2 linked regions of the Mus musculus genome follow. The protein of the gene in region 1 interacts with the protein of each later gene in a biochemical or structural test. Links are inferred from orthologs where the notes say so. Each region holds a gene or a part of one and is shown in the gene's direction. Other genes may lie near its edges.

The links.
Region 2: the proteins of Prkcb (region 1) and Rack1 form a complex in vitro, tested with the Homo sapiens proteins (2 studies listed by BioGRID). The link is inferred for Mus musculus from reciprocal best matches to the Homo sapiens genes PRKCB and RACK1.

The regions. Positions count from the first base shown.
Region 1 is NC_000073.6:122,456,571-122,460,184, forward strand, and holds part of Prkcb (protein kinase C beta type), read left to right. Parts: intron 1-644; coding exon 645-756; intron 757-1,473; coding exon 1,474-1,602; intron 1,603-3,614. UniProt on the Homo sapiens protein: Calcium-activated, phospholipid- and diacylglycerol (DAG)-dependent serine/threonine-protein kinase involved in various cellular processes such as regulation of the B-cell receptor (BCR) signalosome, oxidative stress-induced apoptosis, androgen receptor-dependent transcription regulation, insulin signaling and endothelial cells proliferation.
Region 2 is NC_000077.6:48,798,922-48,803,256, forward strand, and holds the start of Rack1 (receptor of activated protein C kinase 1), read left to right. Parts: upstream 1-1,438; 5' UTR 1,439-1,542; coding exon 1,543-1,651; intron 1,652-1,943; exon of another isoform or gene 1,944-2,011; intron 2,012-2,741; coding exon 2,742-2,913; intron 2,914-3,111; exon of another isoform or gene 3,112-3,188; intron 3,189-3,351; coding exon 3,352-3,499; intron 3,500-4,217; exon of another isoform or gene 4,218-4,285; intron 4,286-4,335. UniProt on the Homo sapiens protein: Scaffolding protein involved in the recruitment, assembly and/or regulation of a variety of signaling molecules. Interacts with a wide variety of proteins and plays a role in many cellular processes.

The DNA.
Region 1 (3,614 bases):
TAAGGTCATAACATTTTCTCACTTTCTGGCCAGTAGGGAGGGCAAAAGAGGCAAGAGGCACATGTATGTTCCTTTTAATGGAATGATCCAGAAGTTTATACTTCCCATTGATCAGAACCCATGGCCACATCAAGCTACAAAGGAAGCCAGGAACTCTGGTGTCTATTGAGCATGGCCTCCGCTATAATTCAAGGGCTCTGCTGTGAAAGGGAGGGGTGGAACCCCGGCCCTCTCGGCCACGGCTTGTAGACTGTCCTCTGTGAAGGTTGTTCCCTGAGGGTCAAATGACCTGTAAGTGGGAACACTTTGTGGTTAGACTTGGGTTTAGATCACTCTAGAAGACTGTTTGCAGAAGGAAGGGGTGGGTGGAGCTAGGAGCAGGGGGCCTGCTGAGTGCTAGGATTTGCAGGTTGGCCCTGTGAATGCCTTCTGGACATGGAGTTTGACCAGTCATCTGTCTTACGTACCCACCCCTCTGACCCCACTTGTCTAGTATCGAGTCCGTGCATGGTGCTCCAGCGATGGTCCTGACGGGCATGGCAGGACCCGGTTCAGTCCTTCATGAGTTGTCCATTCAATGCAGGCACAGTCCTCTGCTCTCCTCACTAACGGTGGCCTCTTCTGTCTGTTTCTCTTGGTCTCAGGACCCCCGGAGCAAACACAAGTTTAAGATCCACACGTACTCCAGTCCTACCTTCTGTGACCACTGTGGATCGCTGCTGTATGGACTTATTCACCAGGGGATGAAATGCGACAGTAAGTCCTTGACGTCCTGGGGGGCATGTGCCACAAGAGAGGCTTCTATCCTAATGGCTTAGGGTCCACGTCTGCACTGTGTCCCCTGACCCCTGGGTAGGAAAGGTACTGTTGTTACCCGATGTCCTGTATTGAGGTCTTCTCCCCATAACAAGGTGGGCCAGCTCATCCCCGTGCAGAACACTTCCTATACACCACCTCCCTGTTGTGTCCGCTCTCTGGGGAACTCAAGCTATTAATGTCACTACTTTAAACTAGGAGATATCTTACGTAAGTGTGTTCTTGATGACATTAAACATGGGGCAGTTTGACAACATCGTGTAAACATTCCTATAGGGTCTACTTGGGTGGGTGTGGCCTTGTCCTCCACGGGACCACCTCCACATCTTCCCTCACTTGCAGGATGGTGCACTGGGCATTTGAGTTGGCACTTCAGAACCACAGGAGTATAGAAATATAGAGGTACTGCTTCAGGCTATAACTTAGCCTTCAAGGAGAATGACCCCCATCCTTCCTTCATGCATCAGGGTTGGGAGAAAGATTTGGAGAAGTCCTTCTGATAGGATGTAACTTGTTCTCTGCTAGGTGGGTGTCACTAAGGTCAGGGAACAGGAAGGCACCGGTGGGTCTAGGTACAGCTGATGCCTGGAGCCCCCAGCGTGGGCCAACCTGAACCAGCCTGAGCCATTCCTCCCTTCCCTCTCTCTGCCCTCACAGCCTGTATGATGAACGTGCACAAGCGCTGCGTGATGAACGTCCCCAGCCTCTGCGGCACTGACCACACGGAACGCCGCGGCCGCATCTATATCCAGGCCCACATCGACAGAGAGGTTCTCATTGTTGTTGGTAGGTGGCCCCGAGGCTCCTGCATCGGGAGGTGCCCGAGCTTCAGGGTTCCAGAGTTCCGTGAACATGTGAGGGGGTGGGGGTGGGGTGGGAAGGGGTGAGGGGGTGGGAGGTGGGTGGGTGGGGGTGGGGATAGTGCCCAGGCAGGTCACAGGTGCACGGAGGGGCATAATGTGCATAATGTGGCTGCTTTGCTCCTGCCTCCAGTGTGGCCCTTCTCCACAGTGAAGTCCTCAGACTGTGGAACCTCAAAGCCACCTTCTCAGCACTTTGAGGTGGCTTCAGCTGCCTAAAGGGCAGCTGAGCCTTCCAGGCTTCATTCTAAAAACAAAATGTGAAATTGAAATTATAATAATTGTATTTATTTGTGGCCACAGTATATCTGACACATGTACAATATGTGACCATCAAGTCAAGGTAACCTTCATGTATCTCTGGGCCACCTGAGCCCTCCATTCGCCCTTCTTTAAAACAACAACAACAATAGCAGCAACAAAGAATGTGTAATTAAAATACAGTAATAGTATACATTTGTGGACGTGGTATATTTTGACACATGTGCAAATCATAATGACCAAATCAAGATAATTTTCACATATGTCTGCACTGCTCAGACACCTATGGTTTCCTTGTATTGAGGATACTGAAAGGACTTATAATTTCACAGAATCTTCTTCCTGCCTCCTATCTGTTCTCTCCGCGTCTCCTGGAACGTGAAGTGCCTGTGCCCTTTTTCAGATAACAGAGAAGGCATCCTTGCTTCCTCCCCAGACTTTTCCAATGGGAACATAGAGTCTTGATGACCAACACCAAATTTGGAAGAATTTATGTCTTAAAGAGGGAGGGAGGGGGTATGCAGGCCAGAGAACTATCCGGGGCCTCCAAAATTTATTTTAACCTGTTGGGAGCTATGCCAATCACTATAATATTCTGCATACTTGTTTTGTGTCTGAACTGAGAAAACACAGCAATTTGCCTAGGAGAGGAGACACACAAAGGGCAGAAAGAAGGGCCTATCTGCTTTTCTGTGGTGAGCATCTGTGATACTCAGAGAATAGGAATTCACCTGTGCTGGACTGGCAGAGACTTACCCGTTCCTCACGGCAAAACCAGTACAAAAAAACTAGACACAATGGTGTGGGGATTTGAAGGAACCGTTTCTTCCAGGCTTGCGACACAAACTCTGTAGACTTACGTAACTAATTTGTATATACAAGGCCTCACCATTTCATCACGGAAGGAGTCGGTTTTGTTAAGTTGGCCAATTTCTGAGGCCCCAGAAGGGTTTAGTAGCACTGACCTGCTGAGCCCTAATGTGGTCAGAGTTTGCTTAAACCATATAAAAGTTAAAAACTATAACTCCTTTTTGAAAGGGCCGTTTCAGAAACCTGGTGAGTTCTTAGAGAAGATGGCTTCATCAAGAGGCTTTTCCTTCAAGGACAGGCCAAGGGAGGAGGCAGCTGTCTCCCAGAGAGGTGCTTGTGGGGTAGGAGTGGGACAACAGAGAATCTTAGGGTAACAAGTTCAAGGAAAGCCTGCCCTATCCCTCACCATTGACTTGAGCCTTCAGTGCCTGAGGGACAAAAACTGAGGCTCTGCTGCCACCTAGTGGTTGAAAACGGTTGCCATGGGCAGTCACATTTACAGAGTGTATTTAGAGCCACAGGACCATCTTGCCTGATAAGTTCATTTTAGGAATGTGATCTAGGGAAGTGAGCATTATCCTGGTACCCATCCTGAAACAGGTTCATCAGGTGCTCAGTTCCCCAGCTAGGTCCAACTGACTTGAAAGCACTCTCCTATACACACCAAGTTACTGTTTTAGCTTAGCTTCGTCTCGTTGCTTAGTTTCCCATTTATTTCCTTTTCTAGTTTAGCAGCAGTAGCTCTTAGGGGAATCCACTCGGAGTCTTTGATGATTTGAGGGCACAGGAGTCTTTTGAGCTCAAGGTCAGGTATTCTGCATAATTGTACTAATGTCTCTCAGGCTGTCCTGGGACACATCTGTGATA
Region 2 (4,335 bases), on another chromosome or scaffold:
GGGATACAAAGAGAAACACTGTCTCCAAAACAAAACAAAACCAAAAAAAAGAAAAAAAAAGAAAGAAAAACAAATACTTATACCTAGGGCTTGGTGTTTTAGGGCTATAATCTTAGTTACTTGGCAGGCTGAGGAAGGGAGATCATAAATTTAAGGCCAATTTGAGCTATGCACATCCTGAATCAAAACGAAACAAGGTTGAATGTGGTGATGAATTCCATCATCGAGGCCAGCCTGGTCTACAGAGTGAGTTTCAGGACAGCCAGGACTACACAGAGAAACCCTGTCTCGAAAAACAAAAAACAAACAAAAAAACGAACAAAAACTAAACAAGGCTGGGAGTTGGGTGGATTTAACTCTGTAAGGCACTCTTCCTAGCATGTGGGAGTTCAACCCATAGCACTAAAATAAATAATTAAATGTATCCTTTAGTTCACATAGACATTAGTGGTTGCTTACCTTCCTGACCTGTGTGTGCTCCTTAAAAAAAAAAAAAAAAAAAAAAAAAAAAAAAAAAAAGTGAAGCTGAACAAATCGGCTGTAGCCAAACACACATGGCAGGAGAGAAAATTCCTGACTTCAGCCAGTGCTCTGTGGCAATCACAAGCGCACTCACACACAAATACTTTAAAACATACAGTTAAAACTTTTTAAGGCCAGATCTGTGACATTTGGAAACACTACAAAATTTGAACACGTGTTGAGGTCATCGGGTTGCCAGGCTATCCGTGTTCCTCTGCTTCCCCGTCCGGGAACACTTCTTTCAGGGCAGCACAAGACAGACCAGCAGGCTTTTCTGGGGAATGATCAGAGGCACAGAAAGGGCTTCCAACAGAATCCCCAGAAATCTGAACCCAGCACTTCCTCCTTTATAGCCTCGCCGGGCGGCGGCTCGGTTTATAATTCCAGTACTTGGGAGACAGAAGCAGGTCGGTAGTTCAAAACCATCCTTGGCAACACAACCAGTTTAAGACTAGCCTTCGCTACATGAAATTTTGCCATAAAACAAACAAACAGGCCAGATTTGCTGGCACACGCCTCTAATTGCGACTTTAATTGTACTTCCGTAAGTCAAAGTTGGAGCCGGGGTCTCCAACCAAGGAACTGAACAGAAGCGGAAAGGGCGGAGCCGCGTCTCTGCCACGTAAGGGCGGAGAGGCCACTGTAGTTTGCTTGTGTGCCCTCAGCCCCACTTCTGCTTCCACGGCATGCTTTAATCTCCCGAGAAGCCTTTCTAAAACCCTGGCGCATCTGGCTTCAGAATGCATTTGTACAGCGCTGCCAAACTAGGTTGCGTGGCAGAAGAAACGACGATACTTGAGACCTACTCTCCCAGTTCCTCCCACTTCTCAGTGCAGCTATCTTTGAGCAGCAGTGAATCATGGGAATCCCCGCCTTGCTCTCCGAGTATTTCCGGTTCCGGCGGAGGCCGCTCTTTCTTTTTCTCCACAGGGTCGTGGTGGCAGCCGCTGTGGTGCTTGGCTCTCTGAGCTATCCGGTGCCATCCTTGTCGCTGCGGCGACCCTCGCATCAACTGCAGCCATGACCGAGCAGATGACCCTTCGCGGGACCCTTAAGGGCCACAATGGATGGGTAACACAGATCGCCACCACACCGCAGTTCCCGGACATGATCCTGTCTGCGTCTCGAGGTACGGGCTGCATGCCGGGTAAATCACCCGGTGTCCTGGGGACTGCATGAGAGTCTCGTGGTTAAGCAAGTGGCGCGCGTGTTGGCTCGGTTCATTCCCCAACCCAGTTGTTAGTTGGGGCGTGCATACCCCAACTTGGGCCCCAACCGGGACGACCCTTTACACATGAACGGAAACCGAGACACGTCGCGCAACTGTACTCACACCCCACCTCCCAAAGTTGGCGATTTTAAATCTCTCGCTTGCTTCCTGGAGATGTGTTTAAGTAGTTTTACGGGGCTACAAGACGGGCGGAGCAATGATGACCCCAACATGCCATCTGAGTGGCTTTGCTGAAATCCAGAGGCTGTTTCTGAGCTGTTGTCGCCTGGCCCTAAACTATAGACAGTGGGTAAACTTTGTAGATGCCTTGTTCCCCACATTTCCGGACTTGATTGTCCCGCCCTAGGTTTTCTTGTAACTAATGATTTTTTTTCTTTAATGATGTATCTTCATGTGTATTTCCTCCCTACCCACCCCAAAATTATGCTCATTTTCTCTCCTACCTAATACTAGGCTTATTATTGTCCGTTTCTGTGTAAGTTGGTTCGTGGCTAGGATTGTGTCTGATGCTACAATAACGGCTGCATTTATTTCAGTAACTCTCAGGCGGGAAAGGCTGTCTCTGCTCAGCCTACATACACCCAAGTGGTGCTTCTGCTGTTAATTAGTCTCGGGCCCGGACGATGACTAAGGTTAGGGTTAGTTTCCCAGACCCTGCATGGTAGCTTGCAGTCATCTGAAACTAGTTCCAGGAGACCTGACACGCACTTCTGAACACCATAGACACAGGTAGCACACATATGTATGTAGGGAGCCACTTTAAATAAAATACATTTTGAATGTGGAACTTAAGTCTCAATCCCAGGAAGTGTGGTGCCCATAGTCTCACATTACAGCTGAGATCTACAGCTCTTGATATTGTAGAGTAGTAAGCCTCTTTTATTTATAACTTGAAGTTTCTCTGTCCCGTTTACTGGCCCCAGTGACTTTAAGACTGTAAATGGTGCACAGTAAGTAGGCTTATACCAACCTTTACCAACCCTTTTAGACAAGACCATCATCATGTGGAAGCTGACCAGAGATGAGACCAACTATGGCATACCACAGCGTGCTCTGAGAGGTCACTCCCACTTCGTTAGTGATGTTGTTATCTCCTCTGATGGTCAGTTTGCCCTCTCGGGCTCCTGGGACGGAACGCTGCGCCTCTGGGATCTCACAACGCAAGTAGCTGCTTTGGAATCTTGGGGGGAAAGTGGGCAGAACTGAGGTAGATTCGCCGGGGTGCAGTCTCCCCTTGGTAATTGGTCCTTTTGTAGAGGGTAAAGCAACATTTGGGGGTGTTGTTTTAAACTGGGTACCTATGAAGTGTCTCATCTTGTACGTTGTCTTAGATGGGCATTTGGCAGATGTAATAGAGGATCCTAGTGATGACAAGACGACATTGTCAACCAATCCCCCACAAGGGAATGAGGACATGTCCTGCAATTCTGAATGGGTTCTCTGATACATGTCAGACATGACATAGGCTAGTAGTAGGTTCTAAGCCACGTGTGGACTGTGTGGGGTAATAGAGCCTACGGGGCAAGGATGAAGCTAGGAAAAGGCTCTAGCTGGATGGACAAAACCTGTCTAGAAAGTGACCAGGTTCTCCTTCTTAGGGGCACCACCACAAGGCGATTTGTCGGCCACACCAAGGATGTGTTGAGCGTGGCCTTCTCCTCTGACAACCGGCAGATTGTCTCTGGGTCCCGAGACAAGACCATAAAGTTATGGAATACTCTGGGTGTCTGCAAGTACACGGTCCAGGTAAAGGGATAAGGGTGGTAGGGACAGCATGTTCAGGGCTACCTCCCGCCCCCTGGGGACTTGGGTTGTTTCTGAGGTGGGTTCCTCACTAGGTAGTCCTGGTGGCCTGGAGTGATCTGACTCCTAGGTGTTGGGGTGAAGCTGTGTGCCACCGACTGCCTCTTTAGCTTTTCATTGTGTGTTGTTAGTCCTGTGACTGTCTGGGGTTGTTTTTTGTTATTTTTAAGCTAAGCATGCTGGCTTGTGACTGGCATGGGACTTACAGGCGTTGGAATTTTATTTAAGTACGCTGTAGCTGTCTTCAGACACTCCAGAAGAGGGCATCAGATTTTGTTAAAGGATGGTTGTGAGCCACCATGTAGTTGCTGGGATTTGAACTCAGGACCTCTGGAAAGAGTAGTCAGCGCTCTTAACAGCTGAGCCATCTCACCAGCCCCAGAATTTTTTATTTGTTTGAGAAGGGGTTTCTGTGTAGATCTGGCTGAGATGGGTGTGCTTTTAAACTGCTGGGGTTAAAAGGCTAGCTAGAGGTGGTACTTCCCCCTTTCATTCCATATTAGGTTGGGCCATGGAAACCCAAACCAGGGCATAAATTGGGCAGGGTCTTGGCACATACGCAGATACCCAGATATCTACTAAAACTGCCCTAAGGGTTAAATGATCTTAAGTCTCTCACCTACCTCCTAGAGATGTGTATTTAAGGGGCTACAAGCCAGGCCCAACAGTGATGACCACAACATGCCATCTGAGTTGCTTTGCTGAAATCCAGAGGCTGTTTCTGAGCTGTGCCTGGTCCTGTACTCTATGAGTAGTGGGTGAGCTCTGGGGGTCATCTT